Callithrix jacchus: one gene and its partners. The protein of the gene in region 2 interacts with the protein of the main gene of each other region in a pairwise test. Links are inferred from orthologs where the notes say so. Each region holds a gene or a part of one and is shown on either strand. Other genes may lie near its edges. The genes, in order: PLLP, MS4A12 and MALL.

Region 1 (3,029 bases), on a different chromosome or scaffold from region 2:
GCAACTTCTGCCTCTTGGGTTCAAGTGATTCTCCTGCCTCAGCCTCCTGAGTAGCTGGGACTACAGGTGTGTGCTGCCATGCCAGCTAATCTTTTTGTATTTTGTTTTTTGTTTTGGAGAGGGGAGATGGAGTCTCGCTCTATCGCCCAGGCTGAAGAGCAGTGGTGCAACCTCGGCTCACTGCAACCTCCACCTCTTGGGTTCAAGCGATTCTCCTGCCCCAGCATCCCAAGTAGCTGGGATTACAGGTGCAGGCCACTATACCAAGCTAATTTTTGTATTTTTAGTAGAGATGGGGTTTCACCATGTTGGCCAAGCGGGTCTCGAACTCCTGACCTTAGGTGATCCATGTGCCTTGGCCTCCTGAAGTGCTGGGATTACAGGTGTGAGCTACCACACCTGGCCTGGGATAACTATAAAAACTTGTTGTGAATCAGTTGTGCCACACTGACTTAGGGTCATGTGCCACCTTGGAGAATGTGAAAAACTGCATGCTCTCCCTCTGACAAGTGCACATGCAAAAGCCTTTTGGTTTAAACCATTCTGGGAAATTCATAGGCTGTCCCATGAAACCCAAACTCTGGGCCCACGTTAGGTGGCCAGTGAAGTGGCTGCAGTCCCCTCCACACCTGTCACCCTTCACTCCACCAGGCCTTGCACACCGTCTCCTCCCAGGATCCTGTGACACCCCCAGTGAGGGAGAGGAAGGGATTACCAGTCCCTTTTGATAGACAGGAGGCTCCCACTCAAGAGAGGTTGGGCGCCAGGCCTGGAGCCACGGCCCAGCCTAGGGGAGGGCAGGGCCTCAACTAGCCCTCATTTGGGTTCCTTACTCTTCCTGACAAGGGCAGTTTTGAAATCAGCAAATTTGGTGATGGGGACAGAGTGGGGAGCTTCCGAATGTGGCTGCAGATTTGAGTATAGAGGCGTGAACTGGTTCTAGAAAATCCCTAGGGTGGCCTTTGAATGTTGTCTTTTTAGAACTAAATTCTTGTGAAACCCCGTCTCTACTAAAAACACAAAAATTAGCTGGGTGTGGTGGCGCATGCCTATAGTCCCAGCTACTCGGGAGCCTGAGACAGGAGAATCCCTTGAACCCAGGAGATGGAGGTTGCAGTGAGCCAAGATGATGCCACTGCACTCCAGCCTGGTGACAGAGTGAGACTCTGTCTCAAAAAAAAAAAAAAAAAAAAGAATTAAATCCTTGCTAGGTGTCCCCTCTGTCACTCTTACCTTCTCCTTCATTGCCCTCCTCACAATCTGAAGGCCTGCCTGTGGTCCTTAGCTATTCACCGTGCTTAGAAGGTAATGTTGGCATCCCTGGATGCTGGTGCTCATCAGCCCCACGATAAACAGCTGTGAAATGCGTCTGGCTAAGTGTGAGATGGTGCGGCTGCCACATCTCTTCCTGTCTGGGCCTGAGATCTGTTTGGGACTTGTGTCACTGTCACCCTCTTGCTCCTTAAGCCCTTCTCACCTCTCTTTCAGTTCTTTGCGAGTTTGGTGATGATTGCCTATGGAGTGAGCGCCTTCTTCAGCTACCAGGCCTGGCGAGGAGTAGGCAGCAATGCAGCTACCAGTCAGATGGCTGGTGGCCATGCCTAAACAACCTGTGCCATGGCCCCCTCTGGGGCTGAAGCCGCTGCTGGGTCACAGAGCAGGGTAACCTTGCAAGCCTGAAGCTGGGGAGCCCTGCACAGAGTCAGCCCCGCAGGGACTACACTTGCTCCTCTCTGCCCATCAGACAGAAGCTCTCACAGTGCTAAGGAAGCAGGCCCAGGTTGGCAGGCATCTGGGCTTGTGGGAGGCCAACCACGGAGACCTCCTTTCCATCCCCCTTATTCAGTGGAAGGTGACGGGGGAATCTGAGGCTGTGTCTCTGCCTTGTCTTTGGAGGACTTCAGCGTCCCAGGCTGGGGCCCACCCTTCTCACCAGCCCTAAATGCACTAACAAGGACTCTAGACCTGTAGCCCCAGACCTGCTGTAGTGTAAGCCTAACAGGCAACATGTAGCACCTTAGTCTTTGTTCCGGGAGAGCTGAGCAAGCTCATGAAACCATTCTCCTTCCTTTAAATGCAGTTCCGACCCACCGCTCCCTGGAGCCAACCTGTACAAAGTGGGTTATGATTGTTGACAGCATGGTCTTCCCTCCCTGCATTTCAGACACACCAGTTATTGAAAGCAAATCAGTTTTCAGTGACATCTCAATGCTGAGAAGCCTGGCCAGGTTTTCTTCCCTTTCCCAAGCCTCTCTCTTTAATACTCCCTTTGGGTGAAGCTAACATCAGTGCCAACTGCCTCCCTGACCCTGCCTCCCTGACCCCAGGCACACGGGACGTGAAGGAGGGAGGGAAGCAAGGCCTTGCCTGGCGAATTGTCATGTGGTTGGTGGTGACTTTGTTTTTTTGTTTTGTTTTTATAAAAATAAATATGAGAGAAATTACTTGGACCAGATGTTGGGGAATCATTTTGCAGGTGCTTATAACCTCCAGGAGGCCTGAGCTTGACTGTGTAAGATGCCTGCCGTAGGGCAGTTCACGATCTGGAGTCCTTCAGCACCACCTGCCAACTCTTTGCCCGGAGGGAGGCTACCTACACTTCCTGCTTGCTGTATCTGGAGCAGTCCTGGTTTATGCTGTTTGTGCTTGCATAAGTAGAATAGCATGGCCTTTTATTCTCACAAGTGTCTCAGTTTGGCAATAACTTAGCCACCCTTGCTTTGGGCAGGTTAGGTGATCTTACTGAATGAAAGATTTCAACAGTATCACCTACCTCGAAAGTCTGTGAGTCTCAGAGGTCATATATCAAGGTGGCCGGCCATGCTGCATGTGCAGAGCTGGTAGAGACAGCAGAGGAAAGCAGCTGAGTACTCCCGAGCTTATTTTTCCAACACCACAGAGCAGCCTTCTCTGAACAATGAGGTAAAAGCGTTTCTAGACACCCTCTAGTCCCTTTTTGTTATTTTTTTTTGGAGATAGAGTCTTGCTCTGGTGCCCAGGCTGGAGTACAGTGGTGCAATCTTGGCTCA
Region 2 (4,214 bases):
TCACCTGAGGCTTGATAAAGAGAAGCCTTACTAGCTTAATTACTCAATCCATCACTAAGAAGTTAATCTGGTTTATAAACCCCTCTTCTTTCATGGCATCAGAAGACAGAAGTTTTGTTGTTGGGTAGTTGCAGGAGCAGACTCAATACCCTGCCACCAAGGCTGGCCTGGAAAACAAGCTGCAAGTGTCCAGAGTGATGCTGTATGGATGACTGGGGGCGGGGGGAGAGATTCTGAGTCAACAGCCAAGAATCCCATCCTGGAGTCCTAACTCTGTCATACATTTTCTATGTAACTTTGAGCATGCCACTTAGCTTGATTCAGATTCAGTGTCTCATCTATAAATGAAGGGGAATGAGACAGGATAAATGGACAGAGTATTTCCTTCCCTAAAACTGCTGGTTTCTATGACCACAGGGCCTGAATATGTCCCTGTTAGATACCAGTGATGCATTATACCAATAGATTATTCATGGTATTCATACTTCATACCAAGAATGAGATGTTCATTACTCTAACTTTCTTGACATTCATTAAGTACAAGAAAATTGTTTGAGAAGATGTCAAGAAAAAAAAGAAATCTAAGGCTGAAGACAAAATATTTAAGTGTCATAATTTTTTTTCAAAGATTAATACTCATTATTGTCCATATCTAGTTGTCCTGGCTTATTGCCAACAAAATTTCCCTTGGCCACATGGGGCCTGAGATGCTGTAAACTTTCAGAAGGACAGAAATAAATAAAAAATAAATAAGAGTATTTTTCCTAACAAACAGGAGAATCAAATTAAGCGGGCACATATGAACTATCTAGTTTCCCAATTACTGACAAATAATGTTAACCTTGGACTGCCCTCCTTGCCATCCAAGTACTGTATTATTTGGCCTCTGTATTAATTTTCTATTTGTTGATATAACAAACTACCACAAACACAGTGGCTTAAAACAATACAATTTTTTTCTCTGACAGTTCTGTAGGTCAGAAGCCCAACACCAGCTCACTATGACCTGGAGACTCTAAGGCAGAATCTGTTTTCCTTGTTTCATCCAGCTTCTAGAGGCGACCCATATTCCTTGGCTCATGGATGCCTTCCTCCATCTTCACAGTCAGCAGCATACCATCTCTCTGATGAGAGATGGTTTCAGGATGAAACTGTTCCACATCAGATCATCAGGCATTAGATTTTCATAAGGAGCATGCAACCTGGATCCCCAGCATGTGCTCTTCACAGTAGGGTTCATGCTCCTGTGAGAATCCAGTGCCATGCTGATCTGACAGGAGGCAGGGCTCAGGCAGTCATGTTTGTCGGCTGCTGACTTTGCATGGCGTGGCCAGGTTTCCAACAGGTTATGGACAGGTACCAGTCCTTGGCCTAGGGGTTGGGGATTTTTGAGAACCATGTTTCTATCAGTTGTTATGGCCCATTATCTGCTCACTTGCTCTCTCCATTTGCATGGATAATTGACATTTGACATTTGGGAAGATTTTCTTTAGTTTCTTTTCTGGATAAATATATCATTTTGGTATATTTTGTGACACTTAGAATATAAGAATGTCATCCAAGCCAATAAGCCATGCTGGAGTACATAAAACCACACCCAACCCTTACCCACCAAGCAGCTTTCTGGCTCCTGGATCTCAACAGCCTCTGGGTTCAATCAACTCAGGAAACCAAGCCCAGGGTGCTCAGGATGCTCAGCCCCACTCTATCAGATTTCCAGAAACCTTTGCTGGCAGTCAACCGGGTCAAGGAAATTCACAAATGATAAATCCAAGTCTGGGAATGGCAGTAATAAACTTCAAAGAAGAAGCAAAGGCACTAGGGGTAAGTCTCTTTACTACCAGAATTTTAATTTCACATTTGCAAGCTCTTCTTATAAGTTATAGGAGAAAATATATTATCCAATTGTTAAACAGTTTTGAATGTTATTCTAAAACTATCTCTTTTGGATAGAAATATTTAGTCTGCCTATAGACTTTCCCTTGAGTTCATTTTATTTCAGATCAAGCACAAATCTAACAGGAGACAGAGGAGCCTCCTAGCTGGAGGATTTAGTAATATTGACATGATAGAAACACCACTGCATCTAGCTTGATTTCATTTCTTCAAAGGACTTTTTGGACAATCTCAATCCCATCTCTAGATTTGTTACAAGCCTGTTATTTGCCTGAAGGTGAATTTACATAAAAATGAACACTGATGGCTGCCCCTAAAAAAGGAAACTGCAAATGGGCAGTCTGGGAAAGGCTGAGTGTGAAAGAACTGGAAGATGTTCCACCTGCTGTGCCTTTCTCAACAATACTCTTAGAGATACTATGGCTTAACTGTCACCTTACTTCTACAAAGGAGACTCTGAACTGACTATGTTGCTTCTGTAGGCATCGTAAAAACAAAAATGCCCTATTTGTAAGAAAATTCCACCTGCCGAGGTAGAATTGTTAGTCCCTTTGCTGTGCTTTCCAAATAGCACAATTCCACCAAATTATATTAAGTCTCTCCCAGTGCATAGCTCCAACTTCTCTGCTGGAGCATTCTGTAAATACATGCTCATTATATGCTAAAAATTCTTCTAGCCATCTTACTACCTATTTCAAGTTTGGATGTTTTAGGGAAGTAAAAATGAGCATAAGTTCTCCTGCAGCAGCCTATTTACCAAGCTGTGGAGGTGGCCCTTCTGATCCTCCTCCTCCCAGATAGAGAAAATCTCCTGCTCCTAATAAGCCAGTGAGACGCACTAACACCCCTCCCCATACAGCCAGCTCCACACAGGTGCCTGGAATATCACTGAGCACAAAGCAGGTGCAATCTCTGCCCTTATGGCCTAGTGTGGGAAATCAGACTGTACACATAATAAAGAAGTAAAGTACATAGTGTTTTAGAAGGTGCCAAATGATACAGAGAAAATGAAGAAGTGTAAAAGGGCTAAGAAGTACCAGGCAGTGAGGAGGAAGCAATTTCAAAGTAGTGAGGACAGGCTTTCCTTAGAACATGACATTTGAGCCAAAACCTGAAGTTAGGAGTGAGCCCTGCAGATATCAGGGAAGGAGAAAACACCCAATGTAAAAGTCTTTAGATGAAAATGTGTGTGATGTATTTAAAGAACAGGGAGGAGGCTAATAAAATAGAACAGAATGAGCGAGGGAGGGAGCAGCTGTCAAGAGGGCAGAGGACTGGCAGAGGCCACACCCTGTGAGGCCTGCAGAGCAGAAGGCTTTGGCTTTGACTGAGTGAATGAGGAGCCACTGAAGCATGCTGCCTCGTACCAGAAATATTTTAAAGTACTTCAAAATACTTTAAAAGAATGCGAGGTTTTGCTTTCAAAAGCTCCAGTTGACAAAGCTACTTCCTCTCTCCGAAGATTGTAATTTCTATGCCATCAGCAGGCCCCAGGCATCATGACAGTGCCAGGGCCACAGGTAGCAGCACATGGCACATCCGTACCAGTCAACTCAGACCTTAAAGTGCTTCTGTGGCCCAAAATGCAAACAAATTGAATGTCCAAATGTTTAAGTCTGTCCCATAGGCAATGTTGATCTAGTAAATGGTACCACCAGGGCTGTGGGAGGAGAAATGAGGGCCAGTGCAAATTCAGATCTAACTGACCCTCATCAAGATGACAGCAAGGACAAGGATGGAAAGTTGTGGCCAGGTGGCTGAATTGCTGCTCTATAGAATTGACTATAAATTAAATACAACAGAATTAAATATAAAGTCTAAGGCAGGAGTTATTTAAGTGAGATTAGCTCAAGGAGACCCATCATCTTTCCAAAGCTATATGCAAAAGTATGGTACGTGTGTGTATGAATGTGCAAGAATAATTGTTAAGGGAGAAAGGTTCATATTTTTATCAAAGTCTCAAGAAACTTTTAGCATTGTTTATGAAACTGGGTTTTTTTCTCATTTTAATTTATTTGCATTCAGAAGCTATTTATTGAAGAAATAAATACAGCAGTCTTTGTATTTACAGTTTTCCTGGATAGATAAGATGTAAACATGGGGAAAAATAAGTTACACATCTGCAATCAACTTTTGGATCAACCTAGAAATGGTTTTTCCCCAGAAATCTATCCTTATTTACAATGAAGGGAGGTGCAATAAGAAGTTTAAAGAGCTGAAAGATGTATACCTCACTTTTAGTAATATATGGTCGGTAAGAAGAACGATTGGTAAGAAACTTACTGCATAACTGCACCTTATTAAAAAAGAACAATACA
Region 3 (4,308 bases), on a different chromosome or scaffold from region 2:
GAGGCTATAGTGTGCACCACATTAAAACAGCAAGAAAGCTATTCATATAGAAAGGCTGGAATGAGGGATTTTTCACTAAAGCAAATTAACCTCTTGTCAACTGCCAAAACAAAACCGAGCATGAGTGTTAGTATACTGAAGGCATGTCATACCAGTTTCTGAGCAGCATGCTAAAAGTTAGAACTTCTTCACTGGTGCATATCAATCACTAATAGTCACGTTTTTGCCCCTTCTTGCCAAATTTCAGGCATGTCTTATTTTAGATGGAGTATAGCTTTTATCTATTATTTCGTCTTGTAAAAACATGTGAAGACAATGTTCATTCTGTGCCAGAGGATGACCAGGAACCTTGTTTATAAACTGCTCCAGCCCTTGTTTTCTTTCCTCAATAAAATTGTCACCAAAGATTCTATCATCGCCTCTAAAAGGAAGCTGATGCAAAACGCTTTCCCAGGGAGCGGGGGAACTACATCTCCTCCTGCTACATTTTAAAGCATTTTTATAGTGTGTAGTTTGGCCTAATGAAGTATTTTTATGGCCAAAAAAAAAAAAGCGGCTGAAGGAGCTTGTGGTCCCCAAGCACGTGATGGACATGGTGGATGAGGAGCTCAGCAAGCGGGGCCTGCTGGAAGAACTGTAAGTTTTTCACCACTGAAGAATTTACTCATGTAACCAGATTCTACCTGTACCCCAATAGCTTATGGAAAAATACATTTTTGAAAAGCAAAACAACAACAAAAAAACTGATCAGTACTCTTCAGAAGTGTCAAGAGAAAGACCCAGATTGTCCCAGATTAAAGGAGATGAAAGAGATACGACAACTAAGTACAATGTGGGATCCTGGCCAGGATCCTGAACCAGTAAAAGGACATTAGTGGGGAAATCAGCAAAATTTGAGTAAGGTTTATAGAGTACTCTATAGCACAGTATCAGTGTTAGTTTCCTGATTTCAATAGCTGTATGGTGGAAGATGTGGGCATTAGGGGCAACTGAGGGAAGAGTACACAGAACTTTCTGTACTATCATTGCAGCCTGACTGTAAATCTAACGTTACTTAACAGTACAAATAAATGAAGAAAATTGGGCCAATGTCAATTTTGATTGTCACTGAGCCCTTCATCTCCCACAGCATGTAAGTCCCCAGAGTCCAACAAGAGTGTATGCTTTGCTCTTCCAGGAGTTGCACTGGCAGGAGCAGGGCAGGTGGGGCCACCATGACCTCTCACAGTTCTCATCCTGGGCGTTTTCCTGATTCCAGACACTCCATGCCTCTAGCCTCCTGCCAGGAATTCTCCCTTGGCCTCTAGGCCTTTCCCTCTCTTCCCCCCAGCCTAGAAATACCTGTTCTTTGAGGTCCAACTCTTGGTGGCAGGCCTGGACCCCTCCCTGGCCTGGAGGGTTCAGATCCCTCCTTGCTGGGGCCACTGTTCAACTGTGGGGAGGAGACACTCACGACTCCCTGGCAGACAGGAGACCACCAGGAGTCAGTGCCCTGTCACTGGGGGCCTGCAGGACTGACATAAACCACAGGCTCAATAAAAAGAGGTGGAGTCAACCAGTAACCCAGTTGCCCTTGCAGCTGCTCCAACGTGAGGGGCACACCTAGGGCCTGGCACATAGGACTCATCAGAGCACAGTAATGTCATCAGTCTGGCAGGATGCCCACTGTCTGGCTCTGCCAGGGGTGGCAACCCTGGCAGAAACCTGCCTCTTCGGTGGGCTTTCAGCCCGAGCCACCCAGATGCTAGGCCCACCCTGCCTGGTTCTCTCTGGTTGCCATCAATGGCCATGCTTTAGCCAGTTTGCCTAAAAGTGGCTCCATCAGGTCCCACTTTCCAGGCAGATGACAAGAATGAGAAGGACTAGTCACCTCCCGTCCAATTTAAAAGTAAATCCACTTTCTATCTTTTCCTCCCTGCTCAGGGACAGCACGTCAGGGACAGCATGTCAGGGCAGGTAAGAAAATATCACCTACAAGCTAGATATTTCAGAAGGTGCTGGAAAAACAAAACACACTCCTTTGTCCTGACTGGACCCCAGACTTGAGAGTGCTCCTCCATGAAGAGGGTGTGGTACCAACCGGTTCAGAGGGGACTTGTGCAGTGCAGAACACTGCATCCGCACAGCTCTGCAGATGGGAGCAGCCAGGCTCCCCAGGGATCAGGGACACAACTCAGCTGTGGGGCACCCCAGGGAGTAACACAGTGACAGGTTCTCATTTGCAACCAGGGTGCCTCACAGACTGTTTCATGTCAGATGTTGCCATAGCTACCCTGTGTGGGGACCCACAAAGTCAAAGTTCAAAGTCAGCGGACATGACAATAAAACACTTGAAGGCCTGCTCTTAGAGGGAAACAGTCTCCCACTGCAAACCAAAAACGCACACATAGTTGGAGAAAGGGACTCCACGTTATTAAAATTAATTTCCAACTTCTTCCTGGGAATCCTGGACGTTTTAGCAACGTTTCCCCAGGCCTCCACACCCAGGTGGGTTTTGTTTTGGAGGAAGGAACCCCTGGTGGCCAAAGAGGGAGCACAGAGTGGGATCTGCTGCTTGAGTACAGCTGCATCCTGCTGTGCGTCCATGGGAGACCCTCAGCCACCGCAGCCTCTGCCCTGGGTCCCCCTTCTCTAGGGAGCTGACCGAGGTCGGGTCTGGGGCCTAGGCAGGTTTCACAGCCCCTCCCTCTCTGCAGGTGGCCGGCGGGCCGCACTCACCAGCTCGGGCAGGAAAAAGGCGAAGGGGATGGTGAGGAGCAGCGCGACCCCCGACGGCACGTCGGGCGGGGCGTAGCTGGTGACGGGCGGGTCGCGGGAGGCCATGCTGTCAGCCCCTGCTGGGCACTCTGCGGCAGCTCGCCCGCGCGCAACCCGTCAAATATCACCTCCTGCCGGACACACCCATCGGACGTCGCCAGGAAGGGGAAAAAAAAGTTCCAGTTGAGCAGGTCCTTCCACTCGCTGCAGCCAACAGATCCTCAGTGAGCCGCGCGCTGCGGCATCAGAGGGCTCTGCCTGGCAGGCTGGGGCACAGCGCTGGTGCAGAAGGCAAGCAGTGGGAGTCTTTCTTGACCTTTCCAACTAAGGAATCTTTGACTCCTGGAGCGTGTTATTCCAGGGGATGCCAGCGACAGCCACTCCCCTGGGCCCAGAGTGCAGGCTCAGGCTGCTTGGAGATGAGGGCTGTGTAATGAGGGCCAGCTTCGAGCCAAGCGATCTTCAGACAGCCCGGCTGCCCACCACGCCTGCGCGTGGCTGTTTGGCCCTTTTATAAGTGAGGACACTGAGAATCAGTGAGGTCAGGTCAAGGTCACAGAACTGCTCACTAACAATGCTGGGTTTTGCCCAGCTCCCTCCTTTTCCACTCTTGGGGGCAGCTCTCAGTCCTTAACCTCCCCTGGGAGGAGCAGCCCTCCCTTCCAGCACATGCCGCTGGGACTTGGTGTTTCCTTTCTCTGGATCCCTGTTCATGGCCCTCCACTCCTCTTTTCCTCAAGGGGCAGATGGAGGAAGGCCCCCCTCTCTGGGAGAGGACCACACCAGCAGGCACCCCAGATGGGCTGGGCTGGCTGGCTGCTACCCCTAGTGGTCACCCACCCTCCTTCCCTCCCTGGCCTTCCTCCCAGCTAGTGCCTCACCCCTAACTGGGCTTGGGACCAAGAAGTTTCTTCCTGACTCCTAGGCAAGTAGGGGAACTGGCTGCAGGGCGTGACCCAGAGGCAAGGAACTCATTTCACACCAAATACAAGTTCCAAAGGCCGAACCATTTTCCCCACCACCTTTGAGTTGGCGAACCTTCATTTTCCTGACCCACCCTGAAAGGCCTGGTGTCCCAGAGTCTACTCAGGATGCCTGGGGTTGGGTCCCTTCTTCCTGCCCCTCGCTGCTCTCTAGTGTGGAGAGGATGTGGGGAAGGTTGTGTGAGGGCTGCAGTAATTAGAAGACTCCACGTCCTGACTTCATTAGCAGAAATGGTGAATTTCAGGTCCTGCCCTCAGGGCCACAGGTGGGGAAACCAGCCAACTAGGCCTTTGCCTGGTCTGGGGAGGGCTAAGGGAGAGAGGAGTTTGGACAAATGAAGCCTAAAGCAAAGGCATTGCAGTGGATCTCAAACCAGGCGGATCAGCCCTTTTCCCAGGCTATGGAAACTAGGAAGGAAGGGAGACCGTAATCCCACCTGCCAACCCTAATCTCACCTACACCACCTTGTTTACAGGATGAATCCAAGCAAAGCGGGAGTTTCTTCATTTATCTCACATCTTGCCAACCCTCTTAATGGTTGAAAATAAGCACTGTGCCACTCTTACA

Evidence for each region.
Region 1: the proteins of MS4A12 (region 2) and PLLP interact in binary tests that used the Homo sapiens proteins (3 or more experiments, as listed by UniProt). The two-hybrid records come from large-scale screens. The link is inferred for Callithrix jacchus from reciprocal best matches to the Homo sapiens genes MS4A12 and PLLP.
Region 3: the proteins of MS4A12 (region 2) and MALL interact in binary tests that used the Homo sapiens proteins (3 or more experiments, as listed by UniProt). The two-hybrid records come from large-scale screens. The link is inferred for Callithrix jacchus from reciprocal best matches to the Homo sapiens genes MS4A12 and MALL.

What each region holds. Positions count from the first base shown.
Region 1 is NC_133521.1:15,138,152-15,141,180, reverse strand, and holds the end of PLLP (plasmolipin), read left to right. Parts: intron 1-1,488; coding exon 1,489-1,605; 3' UTR 1,606-2,444; downstream 2,445-3,029. UniProt on the Homo sapiens protein: Main component of the myelin sheath that plays an important role in myelin membrane biogenesis and myelination. Plays an essential function in apical endocytosis. Regulates epithelial development through the regulation of apical endocytosis.
Region 2 is NC_133511.1:117,601,420-117,605,633, forward strand, and holds the start of MS4A12 (membrane-spanning 4-domains subfamily A member 12), read left to right. Parts: upstream 1-1,376; 5' UTR 1,377-1,551; coding exon 1,552-1,824; intron 1,825-4,214. UniProt on the Homo sapiens protein: May be involved in signal transduction as a component of a multimeric receptor complex.
Region 3 is NC_133515.1:21,243,465-21,247,772, reverse strand, and holds the start of MALL (MAL-like protein), read right to left. Parts: upstream 2,851-4,308; 5' UTR 2,824-2,850; coding exon 2,719-2,823; intron 1-2,718.